Arabidopsis thaliana: one gene and its partners. The protein of the gene in region 3 purifies or fractionates together with the protein of the main gene of each other region. This does not show direct contact. Each region holds a gene or a part of one and is shown on either strand. Other genes may lie near its edges.

What was found.
Region 1: the proteins of GLDP2 (region 3) and SQD1 fractionate together in Arabidopsis thaliana (co-fractionation; one large-scale study listed by BioGRID). This does not show direct contact.
Region 2: the proteins of GLDP2 (region 3) and PDE345 fractionate together in Arabidopsis thaliana (co-fractionation; one large-scale study listed by BioGRID). This does not show direct contact.

What each region holds. Positions count from the first base shown.
Region 1 is NC_003075.7:15,932,798-15,939,026, forward strand, and holds SQD1 (sulfoquinovosyldiacylglycerol 1), read left to right. Parts: upstream 1-2,575; 5' UTR 2,576-2,745; intron 2,746-3,215; 5' UTR 3,216-3,253; coding exon 3,254-4,285; intron 4,286-4,367; coding exon 4,368-4,769; 3' UTR 4,770-5,036; downstream 5,037-6,229. Other genes in the region: ZIP9 (ZIP metal ion transporter family), read right to left, coding at 1-261, 892-1,553, 1,674-1,716, 1,807-1,821. UniProt on the Arabidopsis thaliana protein: Involved in the biosynthesis of sulfolipids found in thylakoid membranes. Converts UDP-glucose and sulfite to the sulfolipid head group precursor UDP-sulfoquinovose.
Region 2 is NC_003071.7:93,351-99,412, reverse strand, and holds PDE345 (Aldolase superfamily protein), read left to right. Parts: upstream 1-2,549; 5' UTR 2,550-2,921; coding exon 2,922-3,077; intron 3,078-3,189; coding exon 3,190-3,459; intron 3,460-3,554; coding exon 3,555-3,664; intron 3,665-3,767; coding exon 3,768-4,407; 3' UTR 4,408-4,686; downstream 4,687-6,062. Other genes in the region: AT2G01130 (DEA(D/H)-box RNA helicase family protein), read left to right, coding at 4,778-4,918, 5,066-5,226, 5,298-5,385, 5,480-5,704, 5,789-5,884, 6,024-6,062. UniProt on the Arabidopsis thaliana protein: Plays a key role in glycolysis and gluconeogenesis.
Region 3 is NC_003071.7:11,107,779-11,117,084, reverse strand, and holds GLDP2 (glycine decarboxylase P-protein 2), read left to right. Parts: upstream 1-2,793; 5' UTR 2,794-3,298; coding exon 3,299-4,531; intron 4,532-4,696; coding exon 4,697-4,942; intron 4,943-5,047; coding exon 5,048-5,125; intron 5,126-5,217; coding exon 5,218-5,318; intron 5,319-5,415; coding exon 5,416-5,611; intron 5,612-5,684; coding exon 5,685-5,810; intron 5,811-5,892; coding exon 5,893-6,078; intron 6,079-6,171; coding exon 6,172-6,285; intron 6,286-6,360; coding exon 6,361-6,513; intron 6,514-6,610; coding exon 6,611-6,799; intron 6,800-6,885; coding exon 6,886-6,963; intron 6,964-7,045; coding exon 7,046-7,171; intron 7,172-7,271; coding exon 7,272-7,370; intron 7,371-7,456; coding exon 7,457-7,574; intron 7,575-7,663; coding exon 7,664-7,755; 3' UTR 7,756-8,082; downstream 8,083-9,306. Other genes in the region: AT2G26100 (Galactosyltransferase family protein), read left to right, coding at 17-99, 182-281, 365-478, 554-696, 779-873.

The DNA of each region.
Region 1 (6,229 bases), on a different chromosome or scaffold from region 3:
GCTATAAGAGTTGTAAGATGAGGCAATGGCCGTTCCCACCGCTACACCGATCGGAGTAGTGATGGCGAAGAAGAAAGCCATCATGGCAGATCCACGCGGGGTTAGTCTGGCCTCTGCGACGCAGCCACCGAGGGCAAAACCTTCGAAGAATTGGTGGAAGGAAAGAGCGAGAAGGAGAGGACGTATGGTGCATGGGCTATGTGATACTCCAAGCGATATTCCTATGATTATTGAATGTGACACTATTCCCATTTCAAGTATCTGAATACAAAAATATAAGGGTATCATCAATTGATTTTGTGCATCGACACTATACAAGGAAATTATATAAACGGATTGGTTTGACTAAGTCACATAACGTCAAAATATATTAACACACACACACACACCAAAAAAAAAAAATGTTTCCACAATGCGTTTAAGTCGTCATTTGTATCTTTGGAAGAAAACTTAAATAATAGTATGATATTTTAGAATTATCTTATTTTTTCGTTTTCATATTAATAATGTTTTGGTAGAATGAACATGAAGTAGTACTATATATAATAGTTACGAAGATAACATTAAATAATTACTTAAACAAGCAATAAAATAAATTTTATTATTTTTTTCAATAACAAAATCTATATAGTGATTAGCAACTAACTAAACTTGGCATTGTAAAACTTTATAGTTGATTACTATAACAACTCTAAAACAGCTTATGCAAGTCATGTACAGTTATTAGAATTCATCCAATTGACTTGGCTACATTGTATATGAATGAAGTCAACTGCATTTGAAATAAATAAATCTTATTAGCATTAAAGAACTCAAAACTTAAAAGTCAGAGCTTACGAAAAACAAAGTCAAAGTCAAAAAACATATGAAGAAAAGAAAAAGGTCGTTTACCTGAGAAACAACAACGTGCCTCACACCACTGTCCAAGCCTACGTCCCCGTGGCCGTGGCTGTGGCCGTGTCCATGACCGGAAACACCACTTCTCTTAGAGAGAGCCTCAAAACCTTCGGCACCCATGGAGAGGCTATGACGGTGATGCTCCGCGTGAGCCCGCATCCCCACGATATGCAACGCCCCTCCATCTTCTTGATCTCTCAGAAAACCCGATTCAAGACCTGGGTCAGACATAACCGAAACTTGCGTACCAAGCGACTCGACGGACTGGTTCATCATCTTCTCCTGTTTCCTCTCGTAGTATCCCGTGATCATGAAATCCGCGAGCAGAGTAAGAAGCGCCGCGACCATGGCGAAGAATTCTGGAAAAGGGAACATTTTCCATGGAAACTCCGGCAGACATGGGTCGGACAAAGCTTTGGATCCGCCCGAGAGCATGTGAACGAACCCTGTTGCGAGGATAACTCCTGCTGCGAACGCTTTGGCTCCCCTCATTAAGCCACCGTTTAACGGAAGTAGGGTTCCAACTAGAGGAATCGAGACTCCGGCAGCTCCGGAGATAAGGATCGACGCCATAGCTGCGAACTTGAGGGTAAGAGCAGCTGCGTCATCTCGGCACGGGTCTGAGTCGCCCGAGTCACAGCTAGTTGTGAACGACTCTGTTTTGTTACATGCAAAAATAAATTGAGTTAACTTTGCTAAGAAAATCTCAAAATTTGCATTTAAGTGTGTTTAAGAGCGAAATGAAGTAATTGCTTTGAGATTTGAAGTGACAATACCTGTCAAACCAGATGATAATGGTCGAAGAAACTGCCAAAAATCCTGAAAACATTATGAGGCAAAATTATGTGAGGAAACAGGATTGAAGAAGCAAAATAACATTAAATAGATGAAGTGGAAGAAGTTTCAGACCTGTAAGAGAGACATTTACTAAATCCGATTAGGCGATTAAACTTGTAGAATTATATAAATTATTGCCAAGGAAACCAGCAAGCTAAGTATATATGGGTTATTAATATTATGGAGTTGTCTGTGTGTTTTATAAAGAAAGATTGGGAGAATGTCAATCAGTGCGAGGGTTTGTGTGTGCGTGCACGTACGTTAACAAGGTCACATGAGGTTCACGGGAATCAAATGACCATAGAATGTCGTCATTTTCATCTAGTACCCTCATTGACAAGAATATTAAAGTTTGGAAGATAATAACTACGAGAAAACAAATATAGAATTAGAGATGAGATGTATGAGAATGTTTTGTTATAATTGAAGTCTTTGTTCGTATCTTGCATCAGAAGTATGACTCTTGTTTGGTCAACTTGCAGAAAAATGACTATTACAATGCGAAATACTAGTAATGTTTTGCGTCTTAATAAAATTTCATTCAAAAGATTATGTAAGTTAGGTTTGCATTTTACAGTTGATTTTGTTTTTCTCCTATCTCATGATTCTCTGTTTTAATAATTAAAAGTTAAAATTTAGAAAATAGCCACAAACATATTCAAAAAGTATATATTTGGGCCAACCGGCCCAGTAAGGGAAGAATGTTCCTTAAGTTGCCTAAATGAGCGACTGAGAAACTGGCCCACAAAGGCCGGACCTGTATCATTCACAACCGGAAAACTTTAAAACTAATAAACCAACGTTCTTAAAAAAGCGACACTTTGGGCCATAATTTGTTGGGAAGGGAATAAGTAAGAATATGCTTTGGGCATATCTGATGATTTATATCTGTCTCATCTCATCTCTCATCGTTCCGGGAGAAGAGAAGAGAGACCCATCCCTCACTTCAAAGTTCAAAGTCTCGAAGGATCTTCTCCAACTCTCTCTAAACAAGATTCCAAATTTTCAAAGGTAAGCAATCGTTTCTTCTAATGAATTTCATTTCTCCGGTTTTGTAAGTTGAGTGATTTCGTTTTGAAGAAACTCTGAATATGATAGGAAATCAAAATTCACAGAGTTTTCATTCAGTTGGGTTTTCTCTGAATTTCATCAATGTACTTCTTTCTTACATTTACTTTAGTTGATCAAATAAATATCCAGTCTTTGACAATAGCTGATTTTCAGATTCGATAAAAGACTTCAAATTTCGTGTGTTTTGATTCTTCTCTTGTTATGGACGTAGCTGATTTAGGGGGGGGGGTGTGAAGATAAAGTTTCGATTTCTATTCATGTCTTTTTGGATTTTGATTTGAATTTGAAGTTAAACTAGAGAAAATCAGCTGAATCCTTACTTGTTATATGGTATGAAACATCTACTTGATATGTCTTGTTCTGCTGAACCAAATTATGTCTTGAAATCTTAGCTGCTTTTGTTTTTGCAGGTGAATTTGTTTGATAGAATCAAGAACAAACCTTTAAAATGGCGCATCTACTTTCAGCTTCATGCCCTTCAGTTATCTCACTTAGCAGCAGCAGCAGCAAGAATTCAGTTAAGCCGTTTGTTTCAGGGCAGACCTTCTTCAATGCTCAGCTTCTTTCAAGATCTTCTCTCAAAGGACTTCTCTTCCAAGAGAAGAAACCGAGAAAAAGCTGCGTTTTCAGAGCAACTGCTGTACCTATAACCCAACAAGCACCACCCGAAACATCTACCAATAACTCATCCTCTAAACCAAAGCGTGTTATGGTCATTGGTGGAGATGGTTATTGCGGTTGGGCTACTGCTCTCCACTTGTCCAAGAAGAATTACGAAGTTTGCATTGTTGACAACCTTGTAAGACGTCTTTTCGACCACCAGCTTGGACTTGAGTCATTGACTCCTATTGCCTCCATTCATGACCGAATCAGCCGATGGAAGGCTTTGACAGGGAAATCAATTGAGTTGTACGTTGGTGATATCTGTGATTTCGAATTCTTAGCTGAGTCTTTCAAGTCTTTTGAGCCGGATTCAGTTGTCCACTTTGGGGAACAGAGATCCGCTCCTTACTCGATGATTGACCGGTCCAGAGCAGTTTATACACAGCACAACAATGTGATTGGGACTCTCAACGTTCTCTTTGCTATAAAAGAGTTTGGAGAGGAGTGTCATCTTGTAAAACTTGGGACGATGGGTGAGTATGGAACTCCAAATATTGACATCGAGGAAGGTTATATAACCATAACCCACAACGGTAGAACTGACACTTTGCCATACCCCAAGCAAGCTAGCTCCTTTTATCATCTTAGCAAAGTTCATGATTCGCACAACATTGCTTTTACTTGCAAGGCTTGGGGTATTAGAGCCACTGATCTCAACCAAGGAGTTGTTTATGGAGTGAAGACTGATGAGACAGAGATGCATGAGGAACTCCGTAACCGACTGGATTACGATGCTGTGTTTGGTACAGCACTTAACCGGTTCTGTGTGCAAGCTGCTGTTGGTCACCCACTTACAGTTTATGGTAAAGGTGGTCAGGTAAATGACTTTCTTGATCTGTTTTCACATGAAATTTCAATCGAAAAATTTGAGGTTTTGATTGAAGTTTTTCCCTTTGCAGACGAGAGGCTACCTCGATATAAGAGACACGGTTCAATGTGTTGAGATCGCTATAGCAAACCCGGCAAAAGCTGGTGAGTTCCGGGTCTTCAACCAATTTACAGAACAGTTTTCAGTCAATGAACTGGCTTCACTCGTCACTAAAGCGGGTTCAAAGCTTGGGCTAGACGTGAAAAAGATGACGGTGCCTAACCCGAGAGTGGAGGCAGAAGAACATTACTACAACGCAAAGCACACTAAGCTGATGGAACTTGGACTTGAGCCTCACTATCTATCTGACTCACTTCTTGATTCGTTGCTCAACTTTGCTGTTCAGTTTAAAGATCGTGTGGACACGAAACAAATCATGCCTAGTGTTTCCTGGAAGAAGATTGGCGTCAAGACTAAGTCCATGACCACATAAAGTGCAGACCAATATTACACATAAGGAGAGATTATGAAAGAGATGATGTGTTGTTTGGTATCTTCAAACTTCATTTCTGCAAAAGACTTGCTAGGCTTAAGAGGTTTTGTCCATATTACATTGTGCAGGTTCTTTAATGTTAGATCTTAATTTCGATGAAAATGTTATAATGTTGCCTTAAATGTTATGTAATGAGAAAAACTATATTATATGAAAAATAAGAAAATGTTAAATAAGTAACAGAAAACCATCTTTTACTTCAGTTAAGAGAATCTGACGAATATCGATCAATGGTTGCAGAAAAATTTCTTCGAGATCTTAGACGAATAAAACTGTAATTAAATTTCTTCAATAAAATCTGGTTTAAAATTTATATAAGTTACGTAATACTTTTGGTGTATTAAATTTAAAATAATGGAGAGTGGTGTTGGTGGGTCATCGTCGTTGGCTATTTTTAAAAAATATTAATGTCTTTTCCAAATACGAAGGAAACTTGTGGGGTCAAACTCTAAGGAATAGAGTGGGTTTTGTATAATTATAATTGTAGCCCTAATGATTCTCTCGTTTTTTCGTATACTATTTTTCTAAAGAACAATAAACGATTCGATTACTACTATAGTTATAAAAAAAAAGAAACAGCTTACACATATTTTCACTTTCCCCATTTATTTTGTTTGACGAAAACCACATAACCAAAAGTAAGTCGATATCCCAATTGGCCAATTCCCATTTATTTTTTAATTGAAGAAAAATATGCAATATGATTTTATTTTTTTTCCGTCAAAATATGCAATATGATTATATGAATAAACTGCACTCTATCTGGACTCTGTGTTCCGCTTACGTACGTCTATGATTTTTTTTGCGTGCTTTTCTTTGAAACTATCAAATGAATCCTTAGTGGCCGAGCTGCCACCATATCTCAGAGTTACACGTAAAAGCGTATTGGGAAAATTTAATATTCATGTTGTGCGCCTCTTAACACATTTGTATCTACGATTTTGTCTCTGTTGTTTTTGCAGCATATCCGAAAATAGCACCAATGAGGAAAAGTGAGAGAGCTTGCTGTCCAAAAAGTGTATATATTTTTATTCAATTTTTTTAATGCTACTTACAAATGATATTGAAAAATAAAAGAAACTAGATATAAATAATAAAACAAGTGGATGGAATGATCAAATAATTGAACAAACAATTCTCCATAGTTAACACTTAACACTATTCAACTTAACTGAAATTAATAGTTTGAAAGCGTGGAGGCTTTTGGTGTGGAGGCACTGAGAGTTTTCTTTGCATTTTATTGCAAATATTAATATCATTATTTACTAAACATTTGTTGGAGAGATTGTTGGTTATGATTGATGAGCTCATCATCCTCGGCCTCCATCAGTATTCATCAACTTGCGAATTAAAAATATATACAAAATAGCATAACCTTAATTTCGAAGACATGTCACATG
Region 2 (6,062 bases), about 11 Mb from region 3:
ACGCATATCTAATATAAACATAAATTCATTATGTATCATGTATGTATGATCTTAGTTCTATATTGACGCAAGAAAATTCAAGTATTTGTTCACTTCGTGCTACCTATGAATGTACATAAATTTTTTTTAAAAAAATATTTGTTACTAACGATCATATAAGATAGTATTAAGTTATTCAGAAAACATAATTAAAATAGAAATTGAAGGTGTAGGTGTGTGGTTTAGTCATCGATATAGCCAACCAGTGACAACCACCTCGACTCTCTTTGACCTAATTATTTGACCACTCCTTCCACTTTACATCATAAAATCTGAAACCACTTACCATCTCTCGTCACATAGCTAGCAGACGATCGTCTTCATTATGTGGTTGTGACTCTCATTCTAATGTAATCCTGGTAAAAATAGCATGCGAGTGTCTTATCGATCCTCGTTGTTTATATGATTAAATCATTTATTATAAAATAAACAAAACACAACTAATATTTTTTGCATTAAAAATTTAAAATATTTTAGGAGGAGTGATTGTTTCGACGAAAATATATTTTATATAGTATGAACATGAATGAGTAAAAGGTAACTCATTTTGGTGTGTGTGTCAAATTTTGATTTTAAGTTTTTTTTGTTTGTTTGTTAAGTGTATCAACGAATCTCTAGTTCTAGCTTTGATACCAACTGAAGTAGCGGAAGTTTTAATGGATAGAACTAGACATCCGTTGATTCCTCGGAATACCAGAAAACTAGAATTTTTTGGATCTGTTGATTCCTCAGAATAACAGAAACGAGAGAACGTAAGGAATTCGTTGATTCTCTTCGAATACCGAATCCTACATCTTTTTATAACCGTTGAAATCTTTCAAGATCTACCGAAAGCAAGGAATTAGAGAATACTCTTCTCTGAAAAGGTAAAAGCTTAATTTTATTAATCAATTAACTGAATACAATTTTAAGTTCAAAAGTCTTAATTATAATAAATCCAAAATTTTAGAAAATTCATAAAACAATAAATAAAAATTATCTAAATAATTAAATAAAAATATGAGGAAATAATAAAGACAATTTGAAATTATCCAAATATATACTGCATTAGGTAGCATGCGGCTTGCAAGACTATAGTATTTGTTTTAGAAACTATAGGTCTATTAGCTAGACAGAATTAAGAGCTATAGAAAAGTTGTTAAAATTGATAATGCGATGCTTTTTCACATAACTCAAGAAAACCAAATCAAGTTCCGATCCATCATTGTTTGTCGACCAAGGGATGATCAGTCGATAGGTCCACGTACGTTGTTGTTTAAATGAAAATAGTTAACATGGATGTAAATTTAATAAGTAAACAATGAAAATGACAAATGAAGTAGAGAAGATGGAGAAAACAGGACCAAGGGCTTGTAAAAGAATTGCCAAATAAACAACAACGTGGTCCTATCACCTTCTGCTTCTCCCTACGCACCAACCAGTCAACCATACTCAATAGGTTTCATTACAAGACAAATAACACACTCTCTTTTGTCTTTTCTCTTTTTTCGAATGGGAAACACTGACTAGCTTTGTTTGTATATTTAAATCGTTTCTAACAGAGAGAGCGTGGCGAAGTGTGAACACAAACACCTAGAAAGATCTGAGAGTCAATTCTTCTGGGTGACATATGCATGTGAACTGTATGAAGACGCGTTTTGGGGTTTATCGTTTAAAAATCATTAGATATGTGACTGACCAAAGTGTTAATCAAAGATCTGCACCAACACCTTTTACATATACTATATTCTAATACGTAGAGGCAGCGTAGAACACTCTAGAAGAAGTACTAGGTGAATTATGATCGATATGCCATTCATCTGAGAGCAGAGAATGGAACTTTACGCATGTTTAATTAAAACAACTTTCAAACTTGTCTTAAAATATGAAAATTACTAGTTCCTACTCTGATTAAGATAAGATTGGCATTATATTCATATTCTTGTACCTAATATATAATTGAAGCACTTGAACATATTTAGTCATATAGTCTTGAATTTTGTTGTTGTTTTTCCCTTTTTTTGTGGGGTCAAACTGAGTTGCTGTAAATTTGAACATACATATGAATATGCATTTAAATTGTGGCCAACAGTTTTAGAAAACTGTTATCAAATCAAAGATACTTTAAAAATACAAAAAAGTAGTGTAAGATACAAGAAAGAAAAAGTTGCCACTTTCTCATGTCGCATATATATAACGTTTCTCGGAACTTGCATTTTCTCTCTTCTTGTTTACACCTTCCTCGCCTGTTACGAGTAACACCAATATTTGGACTTATTGGATGGTTGCCTTAATAAAAAGGAAAAAAAAAAAGAAAAAGACCCAAGAACACCAAAGCTGTCGTGGGCTCTTATTGTTTATCTGAAACTAAGCCCTATTACTATTGGGCCCAAAAATCAATTACGTAAAAGAGTTTGCCTGTTATATAAGTTGTTTACTATTGTGGCCCAACAGATAAAAAAGGGAATATCCGGCCCATTCTCTTTCATCACACTCCTTGAAGAGGTGATAGGTCATGTAATTTGATTAATTAAGAAAAACGATTGAGTTAGACGAAGAGGCAATGGTAGGAGAAGGATAGTTTGGGTAGACGAAACGGTAGAGTTTTGGTTATTCTCAGATTCTTGTTGTTGAGAGACTGATGAACTACTAGAAAAAATTACCAGTATCTCCCTCAAGGTTAAAAGCGTCATTTACGGTAAATTGGGGAATAAAATGGTAAAGAGAAGGAGGCTTTTTGGTGGTGGGAGTAGGTGATGCCAAAGTAGACGACTACTAATAGTAGTAAACAAAACCTTTGGCTTTAACACTCTCCTCCAAATCCCAGATCTCTCTCTGTCTCTGTCCCGCGGAGTCCCCGAGAGATTGATCACCATCACTTTTGTACCTTCCTTGTACTACCTATGGCGTCTGCTAGCTTCGTTAAGCCTAACACCCTCTCTTCTCCATGGATCGGCCAACGCTCCTTTGCTCACACCTCTGCTTCTTCTTCTCCTCCTCCTCGAGTCTCCTTCGCGATCCGCGCCGGTGCTTACTCCGACGAGCTTGTTAAAACCGCCGTGAGTATCCTCCTTATCCTCTCTCTCTCTTTGATGCTTTATTAGTTTGGATTCGTTTCCGTAATTCTCAAAGTCAAACGTAGAGTGAGATTCTCTGATTATTGCGTAATAGAAAAGCATTGCATCCCCTGGGAGAGGTATCTTGGCGATCGATGAGTCCAATGCAACCTGTGGGAAGAGGCTTGCTTCTATCGGCTTGGATAACACCGAGGACAACCGTCAGGCCTACAGGCAACTTCTGCTTACCACTCCTGGCCTCGGCGATTACATCTCTGGTTCCATTCTCTTCGAGGAGACTCTTTACCAGTCCACCAAGGACGGTAAGACCTTTGTCGATTGCTTGCGCGATGCCAACATCGTCCCTGGCATCAAAGTTGACAAGGTATTTTTTATCCATTTATTCTGTCATCATCATCATAAGTAGTTGAGTTTTTATGTGTGTTGAGTGAAGTGTTGACAATGCAATCCACCGCGTAGGGCTTGTCTCCCCTAGCCGGTTCCAACGAAGAGTCTTGGTGCCAAGGCTTGGATGGATTGGCCTCACGCTCTGCTGAGTACTACAAGCAAGGCGCTCGTTTTGCCAAGTGGTATGTCATATATTTCACCATGTTATCTTACATATGGTATTAACTCTTTGGTTTGATGTGAAAATGCTCTTCCTAGTTTTGATGTTTGTGTGTGTTTGTCTAGGAGGACAGTGGTGAGTGTTCCCTGCGGTCCTTCAGCACTGGCTGTGAAGGAAGCTGCGTGGGGGCTGGCTCGCTATGCAGCCATCTCTCAGGATAATGGTCTTGTCCCCATTGTGGAGCCAGAGATCCTTCTGGACGGGGACCACCCAATAGAGAGGACTCTGGAGGTGGCAGAGAAAGTGTGGTCAGAGGTGTTCTTCTACTTGGCACAGAACAACGTCATGTTTGAGGGCATTCTGTTGAAGCCGAGCATGGTCACCCCAGGCGCTGAGCACAAGAACAAGGCCTCTCCCGAGACCGTTGCAGATTTCACGCTCACCATGCTGAAAAGGAGGGTTCCTCCGGCTGTCCCAGGGATCATGTTTCTGTCAGGAGGACAATCAGAGGCAGAGGCCACACTGAACCTGAACGCCATGAACCAGAGCCCAAACCCATGGCATGTGTCCTTCTCATACGCACGTGCCCTGCAGAACTCCGTGCTCAGAACATGGCAAGGCAAGCCGGAGAAGATTGAGGCCTCGCAGAAGGCACTGTTGGTGAGGGCAAAGGCCAACTCACTGGCCCAGCTCGGCAAATACTCAGCCGAGGGAGAGAACGAGGATGCCAAGAAAGGAATGTTTGTCAAGGGTTACACCTACTGATTTGTTAATTTCAGAGATCGTAATAAGGATTAAGGACCATTGTTGTCTTTTGTTTTTTTTTCCCTTTTTTGTTTTGTCTCTGAGAAAGAAAGACAGTCACGAGTCACGATCATATCATATATGTATGTGAGCAACGTGAAAACATCCTCTTAAATCTATATTTCCTCTCAGAAAGACTGATTACTGTTTGACTGCAAAACCAAATTGTGTAATTCTTCTTTTAAGTTTACAAAATTTTTGGAGGGCGATTAGGTAAAATTGGCATAGTTGCAAGTTCAGTGTTAGAAGAAGCAGCGGAGATCTCTCTCCCTCTTTATAGTTTACTTTTGACTTACAGTAGAGAGAGTTTAGAGTTTTGAATTTGGCTCCGATGACGAATCGTCTTCCTCCTTCGCTGTACGTTCCGCCTCACCAGCGCCTTGGTTCCGATTACGGCTTCAATCCTGTTCCTCTCTCTCCAGTTCGCTATGTCTCCGCTTATGATGACCGCGTTTCCGAGGATCGCCAACCGGTTAACTTCTTCTTCATCTTTTTTTCATGCATCTCTGAGCTTTTTGATTGATGCTCTTACAATGGCGATTCTAGTTTTCGATTTGCTCTCGAGTAGCATTTTATAAAAATCCCTTTATCTTTCTACTGGAACCATATCAATTTGCAGCAGGAGGGTACCTTTCACTGTGCCGACTTGGATGATTGGAATAAGAGATTTTCAATGCTTTTGAAAGATTCTTTAAAGCAAGAAGTTATTTCCAGGGAGAAAAAAGATAGACGGGATTTTGATAAACTTGCTGCTCTGGCTACAACCCTGGGATTGTATAGGTACATCAATCATGCTGCTCCTTTCTTTCTTCTTTCTCACTAGTACAACCATTTCTGTTTCTTTTTTGCAGTCATGCATATGCTAAGGTTGTTGTCTTCAGTAAGATCCCACTCCCCAACTATAGGTTTGATTTAGATGACAAGAAGCCACAGAGGGAGGTATTATCCGCTGCTCCTCACTCTCTTCTCTTACACTTAACGCAAGACGGCTTGTTTTTCTTTAAAGAGCAGATATATACAAAAATATTTACAGGTGAATTTGCATACTGACCTTCTTCAAAGAGTTGAAGCTTACCTCACAGAATACCTCAGTAAAAGCTCTAATAGGATAGATAGAGTCCCTGCCAATTCCGTCTCAAGAACTAGTAGCATTAGCAGTACTGATGAATGGTTTTCTGAGCAACCACTACCCATCTCTGCCACCAAAATTCTTTGGCAAAGGAGTTTGCAGCTGCGTGATCGACAACAATATTGGCAGGTTCTGTTTATATTAGGTCCTTAATATATTCTTCATCTATGCTTTTTCATCGTCCATTTAGTTTTGATGTGTTCCATTGATTAGGCATCCGTAGAAGGCCAAAGAATGTTGGATTCTCGTACAAGTCTCCCTGCTTTCAAGCAAAGGCATTCAGTATTGACAGCTATTTCACAAAATCAGGTCTGCACAGAAGATAACTGGAAGCATGCTTGAGCTCAGTCGTGTGACATCTGTGTCAAATAGAAAATCGAATATCAACTTGACGGTCGTCTTGGTTTTGTATTAGTTCCGATTACCCACATAAATTTTCGTATTGCAGGTTATTGTTATCTCTGGAGAAACAGGTTGCGGCAAGACC
Region 3 (9,306 bases):
TGTCTTCTCCTTGTAGGTTGGCTTTCTTCAAAGCAGCTTTTAAACTCTTTGAAGCTGATTATTATGTCAAAGCCGACGATGACATTTATTTGAGACCAGGTATTTGAGAGCTAGTGTTTCAGATTGTTTTCCTCTGCATCACAGTAGTATTCAAATTCCTTTTGTTTTTGTTTTGGTTCAGATCGACTTGCGACGCTTCTTGCCAATGAAAGACTTCATTCACAGACATACATTGGCTGCATGAAGAAAGGACCAGTTATAACTGACCCTAAACTAAAATGGTATTAACTAGTCCTCTCTTTATCCGTGACTGTAATTCTTTGTTGAGTTTATCAGTTTTGGTGACAGATACTGAATTTGTCAGGTACGAGAAACAAGGCAATTTGATTGGAAATGAATACTTTTTACATGCTTATGGACCGATATACGTTCTTTCAGCCGAGATAGTAGCTTCACTTGCAGCAGCTAGGAATGGCAGGTTTGAAATGTTTTTGATGTACCTAACTAGCAGATTTTGATATGCAAATCTCATTATCGGTGTTTTTCATTTCAGTCTGAGAATGTTTAATAATGAAGATGTAACTATCGGATCTTGGATGCTTGCAATGGATGTACATCACGAAGACAACCGCGCTTTATGCGATCCGCATTGTTCCCCAAAGTCCATAGCAGTTTGGGACATTCCCAAATGCTCAGGTAACATTAATATGTTCTCACATAATAGCAATAGCAGTCACACAAGAATCAATTAGCCAAGCTTTTCTTCTCAAATCTTTAGGGCTTTGTGACCCGGAGAGTCGGTTAAAAGAGCTTCATAAGACGGATATGTGCTCCAAGAGTCCGACATTACCTCCCGATGACATCGATCAGTAGTTTGTTTCAAGAGTTGCCCCCACTTGAAACTTCTTGAGACAGTTCTACGGAATATATGATCTCACCACAAGCACTAGAGTTCCGACATCATTGGAGCTGTATAGGGAAAAGATGACTTCATGGTTCTTACATGATCTGATTTTAATAGTTGTTGTTAGATTGTACCACATATATACACTGAAACTATATGTTATAGACAGATACATCAATATCCCTTTTTGTAAAATTAGATTTATGTGCCCAGTATAGGCACTGGGTGATGGATGATACATCTTGTTTCATTTGTAAAAGAAATCAAATTCAATCTATTTATTTGTTATATTAATTTTTTTCATCAAATACTGTTTCAAATTTTATGATACAGCGGAGATAAATCAGACATGAGACTATGTCAAAATTGCAGGAGAATTATTCTAAAGATAAAACCGTTTAGTGGATTTGGTTACCAAAATGTTGATATGGCCGAGTTGGTCTAAGGCGCCAGATTAAGGTTCTGGTCCGAAAGGGCGTGGGTTCAAATCCCACTGTCAACATAATTATTATTATTATTTTTTTTTTTAAATTTATATATAGGCTTCAAATCAAACAGTGACACTTTTTTGGTACAAATCAAATAGTGACTTATATATTAGAGAAATTGTTGGAAAAAAACAAATGTGATATCCATTGCTTTTGCGGAAACGTTGACAAATTATTGGCGAAATGGTGACTTATATATTTGAGCAACATACACACTCGTTTTTATCTTATTTTTATCCAAAAAGGGGAAAGTAGATGAATTATGTGGATTTTATTAGTGAATATGTGATGCATTTCATTAGTGAATTTGTTTGTTTCGAACACCTAACAATCAATTATGTTTGAGAGGATATTTTCAGGGCGGTCCTGAGGAGAGCAACATGAAACATTTGTATGTGACCTCATAGTTTTTTTCAAAAAATTACATTAAAATTTATTTGTAAATAGGCCCCCAAAAATATTTAATTTGAAAAAAACCTTAAATTGCAAAACAGTTTATACTCCCTCCCTCTGTTCCATCAAGATTGATGTTATAGGTTTTTTTTCTTGTTCCAAAAAGTTTGATGTTTTAGATCAATATTATTAGTATTTTTATTTGTGACCAATATAGAGAAGAGAAAGGCAGTGTCTGATATTATTAAACAAACAAAAGAATAATAAAAAAATAAAAAGTTATTTTTCTTAATTTGTGTGAAAACCCACAACATCAAACTTCATGAAATAGAGGGAGTATTAATTTCAAAATATATAATTTATGGTTTAGACCCCAGATTGTCATGACCGACCGTTGATACTTTGCATAGCTTAGAACTTTCATCTCTGCGTGTAGTAGAGAATGACTAGTTTGGTAACCTAATTTACTTATAGATCTTTAAACATATAGATCATTTGACCCAATTTACTGCCACGCGTTTTAAATGTACTAACTACTAAGTATGAATAAAATGATCAATTTGAGTCACAAAAAGTATGTTTATTGTGATCAATTGTGAAATGCCAACTCTTTTACAGGTATTACTAGGTTGATGGGAAATATTTTGCTAGGGTCCCCGACCAAACCGCACTAACAAAAACATGAAATTTAATTAGAAAAAAAAAAGTTGCAATATTTGGAGGACGATAGTTCCGTTGTCAAATGATGAACAACGAAGAAACCGTACATTGATGAGATAAGTTTTATGTGAAACACATCTTGCCACCTATATTTATGTAACTATGTGAACCATAATAATCATAAGCTCTTTACAATATATTTTCTTAGTTTTGTTTGTAAAGCAAATTTATGGAAGAAAAAAAAAATTGTCGTCCACATATTTCCAATCTCTTCCACTTTGATTCTCTTCCATTCAATCTTTCTTCGAGGTTTAAAGCATTTTCTATGATACAAAAGTATAAGAGATGTGTATCCAGTTGCAAAACTTATACTATGAATTGACTATACTATTTTGATAATTTCTATAACCATAACGGCTGCATGAACTATATACTTAAAACTATGACTACGATAGTCGCAATAAATGTATCGTACTATCCTTCGAACTCTTATACGATTTAAAACCTTAGCATATCAAACATTTAAATTTCTAGATAGTGATATCAAAATCCTACAGCCGCAATTTTTCCAGAAAAAGGTGATAATTTTTTTTTTTTATCAGCATATTGCTTCGATGCAAAATACGTGGAATCTATGCAAACAAATTTGTTTCTTCTGTATAGTTGCTTATTGAGTTGAGTGGTTGTCAGTCACCAACCCTCTTCAGATCTCAAAGCCACAATAAAATACGTTAAATTAATAATTACCAACCTCAAAACTATAATCTATATATATATATATATATAATCAGCATTTTCTTCAGTGTCTCTCTACTCTCTCTCAGATTTGCATTTGTTTTTTTTTGGTTTGGTTATGGAGCGTGCAAGGAGACTTGCTTACAGAGGGATCGTGAAACGTCTCGTCAACGAGACAAAACGCCACCGTAACGGCGAATCCTCTCTTCTTCCGACGACGACTGTTACTCCCTCAAGGTATGTCTCCTCCGTCTCCTCCTTTCTCCATCGCCGTCGTGATGTCTCTGGATCGGCTTTTACCACCTCCGGTAGAAATCAACACCAGACACGATCGATCTCCGTCGATGCGTTGAAGCCAAGCGACACTTTCCCGCGCCGGCACAACTCAGCAACACCGGATGAACAAGCTCAGATGGCGAATTACTGCGGATTCGATAATCTCAACACGTTGATTGATTCGACTGTTCCGAAATCGATTCGGTTAGATTCGATGAAGTTTTCCGGGATATTTGATGAAGGATTAACGGAGAGTCAAATGATTGAGCATATGAGTGATTTAGCTTCGAAGAACAAAGTTTTCAAATCGTTCATTGGTATGGGATACTATAACACTCATGTTCCTCCTGTGATTTTGCGTAATATAATGGAGAATCCTGCTTGGTATACTCAATATACTCCTTATCAAGCTGAGATTTCTCAAGGAAGACTCGAATCTCTGCTCAATTACCAGACGGTTATTACTGATCTCACCGGTCTACCGATGTCGAACGCTTCGTTGCTCGATGAAGGTACGGCGGCGGCGGAAGCAATGGCGATGTGTAATAATATTCTAAAGGGGAAGAAGAAGACGTTTGTTATTGCTAGTAATTGTCATCCTCAGACTATTGATGTTTGCAAGACGAGAGCGGATGGTTTCGATTTGAAAGTTGTGACGGTTGATATTAAGGATGTGGATTATAGCTCTGGTGATGTGTGTGGAGTGTTGGTTCAGTATCCGGGGACTGAAGGGGAGGTGTTGGATTATGGTGAGTTTGTTAAGAATGCTCATGCTAATGGTGTTAAGGTTGTTATGGCTACGGATTTGTTGGCTTTGACGATGTTGAAACCGCCGGGTGAGTTTGGGGCGGATATTGTTGTTGGGTCGGGTCAGAGGTTTGGTGTTCCGATGGGTTATGGTGGTCCTCATGCTGCTTTCTTGGCTACTTCACAAGAGTATAAGAGAATGATGCCTGGGAGGATTATTGGTGTTAGTGTTGATTCTTCCGGGAAGCAAGCTTTGCGTATGGCTATGCAGACTAGGGAACAGCATATCCGCAGGGATAAAGCTACCAGCAACATCTGTACCGCTCAGGTAAAAATGGCTTCAAACTCTATAGGATTTATGTAGTGTATACCGCTTTGACTATTACTGATAAGTGATAACAAAAGCGGGAAGAATTAGAGGTACCGAGAGAGCAGTACCATATTTTACATCTTCAAACTATTTTGCTATTGATTATCGTTTTCTACATTGTAGGCCTTGCTTGCAAATATGACTGCTATGTATGCTGTTTACCATGGACCAGAAGGCTTAAAATCTATTGCACAACGGGTTCATGGTCTCGCTGGTGTATTTGCCTTAGGATTGAAGAAACTGGGAACTGCACAAGTCCAAGATCTTCCCTTCTTTGACACTGTCAAAGTTACATGTTCAGATGCAACTGCAATTTTTGATGTGGCAGCCAAGAAGGAGATCAATTTGCGTCTTGTGGACTCCAACACTGTGAGTTTCTTCATATATATATATATATATATATATATATATATATTTCTTCAATATCTGGATATGATTATTAACATTGATGGGTTTTTTTTCTTGTTCTTTAAGATTACTGTTGCTTTCGATGAAACAACCACCTTGGATGATGTCGATAAACTTTTTGAAGTTTTTGCTTCGGGCAAGCCCGTGAGTTTACTTTAAGCTAATATCCATTCATCTCGCTTGTTCACTCTTTTTTTTCGTGTTTGCTTAAAATAATGTTTTCTCCAATGTACAAGGTTCAATTCACGGCTGAGTCTCTTGCACCGGAGTTTAACAATGCTATTCCCTCTAGCCTAACAAGAGAGAGCCCTTATCTGACCCATCCAATCTTCAACATGTATGTTACCTTCTTTAAATCTTGGTTCCTTCATTGCCCTGTGGCTTATTGTTAAGTACCTCACATTTACTTTCCCTTTTTTCTTACATTTGGTTAGGTACCACACGGAGCATGAGTTGCTTAGGTACATCCACAAGTTACAAAATAAAGATCTATCATTGTGCCACAGCATGATTCCACTTGGATCTTGTACGATGAAATTGAATGCCACCACTGAAATGATGCCAGTCACATGGCCAAGTTTCACCAACATGCACCCTTTTGCTCCTGTTGAACAAGCCCAAGGTTATCAGGTGAGGCCACATATTTGATTTACCTGACTAGAAATTTAACTACGTACTGAATTTTTTGTTTGACAACTTATAGGAAATGTTTACGAATTTGGGTGAGCTCTTATGTACGATCACTGGATTCGACTCTTTCTCATTGCAACCTAATGCCGGTGCTGCTGGCGAGTACGCCGGGCTCATGGTTATCCGTGCATATCATATGGTAAGCATACCTGTAGTTTCTTGTTTTCCAATATGAACTCGCACTTCAACAAATTTGGTAAATGGGTGAATAAATGATGCAGTCAAGAGGCGATCATCACAGAAATGTGTGCATCATACCTGTTTCTGCACACGGGACAAACCCTGCTAGTGCTGCCATGTGCGGAATGAAAATTGTTGCCGTTGGAACTGATGCCAAAGGAAACATTAACATCGAAGAGTTGAGGAACGCCGCCGAAGCCAACAAGGACAACTTGGCTGCTCTTATGGTATGTATTTACTTCTTTCATCACTATAGATGAAACAATGTCACTTTTGGGTCAATCCACTTTCTAATTCTACAACTTCTGTTTGAATATTAGGTTACATACCCTTCCACCCATGGAGTCTACGAAGAGGGTATCGACGAGATCTGCAACATAATTCATGAAAATGGAGGCCAAGTTTATATGGATGGTGCTAATATGAATGCACAGGTATGGTTTCTCTGCTGGTATGTTGACTGAAGAATCCAAAAGTTGTGAATTTGAGAAAGTTTTTGGAACTTCCAGGTGGGTTTGACAAGCCCTGGTTTTATTGGAGCGGATGTTTGCCATCTCAATCTCCACAAGACCTTCTGTATCCCTCACGGAGGTGGAGGTCCCGGAATGGGCCCTATCGGTGTGAAGCAACATTTGGCTCCATTCCTACCTTCTCACCCAGTGGTTAGTGTTAATTCTTATATGTTATGATCGCTAATCCATCTTTCTCAATGATTGAGTTATCTGCTTTTTTGTACTCATTCTGTTTACTCTGCTACAGATACCTACCGGTGGTATCCCTGAACCCGAGCAGACATCACCGCTGGGAACCATTTCTGCAGCACCATGGGGGTCTGCGCTTATCTTGCCAATCTCGTATACTTACATTGCCATGATGGGATCTGGAGGACTCACCGATGCCTCAAAGATTGCAATTTTGAACGCTAACTACATGGCAAAGCGTCTGGAGGTACCTTATCTTATCTTGACAACTCTTTAAAGAGAGTGAACGTCTCTTCTCTTGTGCAACCTCACTTATGCTTTCTTGTCTTTCAGAGCCACTACCCAGTTCTTTTCCGTGGTGTCAATGGAACAGTCGCTCACGAATTCATCATTGACTTGAGAGGATTCAAGGTATGTTTCTTTATCTCGTTTGAGTAAATGCTCTGTTTTTTGGTTGTACATGCTAAATCAATGTCTTGTTCAATGTCCTCAGAACACTGCTGGAATTGAACCAGAGGATGTGGCCAAACGATTGATGGATTATGGTTTCCATGGACCGACAATGTCTTGGCCTGTCCCTGGAACGCTTATGATCGAGCCAACCGAAAGCGAAAGCAAGGTAATTATGTCTTGCATTGCATTGCAAATCTCTCACTGACTCAGCTCTCAGTCTCTAAAACATGGCTTCATAATTTGTATATATATATGTAATATTTCAGGCTGAGTTAGATAGGTTCTGTGATGCTCTCATCTCGATCAGGGAAGAGATTTCACAGATTGAGAAAGGAAACGCAGATCCAAACAACAACGTTCTGAAGGTAAGAAAAAATTTGAGACCACAATTTCAGTTCGGACTAGCCCTCTAGTCTGATACTAATGAACTTTAAAAAACAAACACACACAGGGTGCTCCACATCCTCCGTCATTGCTAATGGCAGATACATGGAAAAAGCCGTATTCACGGGAATACGCAGCCTTCCCCGCTCCATGGCTCCGCTCCTCCAAGTTCTGGCCCACTACAGGTACTTGAAAACTAGGGGTGGCATTTCCCATAGAAAACAATTTGTTATTTGTAAATCGTTTCAAAATGTATTAAATATGTGTGAAACAGGGCGAGTGGACAACGTGTATGGAGACCGTAATCTGGTGTGCACTCTCCAACCGGCGAACGAAGAACAGGCTGCAGCTGCAGTGTCTGCTTAAATGAAGCCACTATGAAGCGATTCGCACTCGCACCAAAACCCACAATGGGGCGATTCGGACTCATACCGGATCCAGAAACGTATCTTTACTGGCTTTTACTTCTCTTCCCAGCCTCATCATCACTTTCACTTTCACTTCCTGTACAATGTACATACGTAGTCCTAAGTTCTTCCCTCATTTATTTAATAAAATACATTTCTTTATGTTCCACTTTCTTATACGTATAACATTCCATTTGGATGATGTGATCACCATCGTGGTTATATTTATGCCATATGATCTCTTTGAAAAAAGTTTGAATTCTTAGGATATTTATTGTTTCATTTTATAATTAGGAAATTTGGCAAAATAACCATAATTCTAGGTTTTATAAACAAACTGACTGACAACATATAGGTTCTGAATGGTTGCATGTAGAGTAAAAAGTGGAAGTGAAGGAGACAAAAAAATTTAGTGAAAGAAACAACCAAATATTAAAGGAAAGGAATCTAAATTTTGAAGTAGTTATTTTTTCTCTCTCCTTTGGGTAGAGTTAGATTTTTTTTTATAAAAAAAAGCTTAATACCAACTTGAACTTCCTTTCCAAAGAAAACTAGGAACTTGGTAGAGTTAAAATTTAATTTCACTTTTCTACATTTTGGCCAAAAAAAAACAAAAAGCAGTTCTAACCAATGCTAATCTTTTCTATTTTAGAGACACACATTGGAACAAAATCAACTCTAAAATAGTGAAAAAAAATAAAGGTAGGACATGGGAGATGCTCTTATGTTTCTGCTAATTTTTTCAATTGCCACTAATCAGACTTGTAGCATTATTCTACTAAATATCAGATTGGACATTAGATCACCTATACTAAAACCATCTCCAATGGTCACCTCTATAAATAGAGGAAAATATAGAGGTCATCATTAGAGATGCCCTAAGTCCTTGAACCAAAACCTGTATTTCCTCACAGAAAATAGATTTTCTGTATAGCCACATTAATTCATTCTAACTAGACTCTCACTGAATCTTTGAGAGGACCAACCTCATAATGATTTTTTCCTATCCTATATACTAATGCTTGTTTTTTTTTTTCTTCCGAAAGGTGATTAAAGGAGCATATTCTCATCGAGCCCTGTTCGGTTACCTCTCTAGCAAACAACTCATCTATCCTACGCTTTATCACTATTTTAGAGCACCTGACATTTCTCTTAAGAACAAATCAACCTTGTAAAGCATATGTGGCTTGATTCAAAAAGACAAACACTAGTGATAGACGCAAGAACCCTAAATAAAAAAAGTTTTCTAGATTCTCAAAACCGTTAGGTCTGACAGACATATATAAACAATTATCGAATTGTTATTAATTAATACGATGTCACTCTATACCTATAATAGAGATTAGGGTTTCCATGTGTTCATTTATCCAACCATAATTAATAACGACAACGGTAATCAATAAGACACATTAAGATTGATCGGTCAAGAGTTATGAGTTTCATAAGTCATCTCCAAATTTTGCGGAAACTAAATATTTAAACATCGGATTCTCTGTTTGTCAGTTGTCAG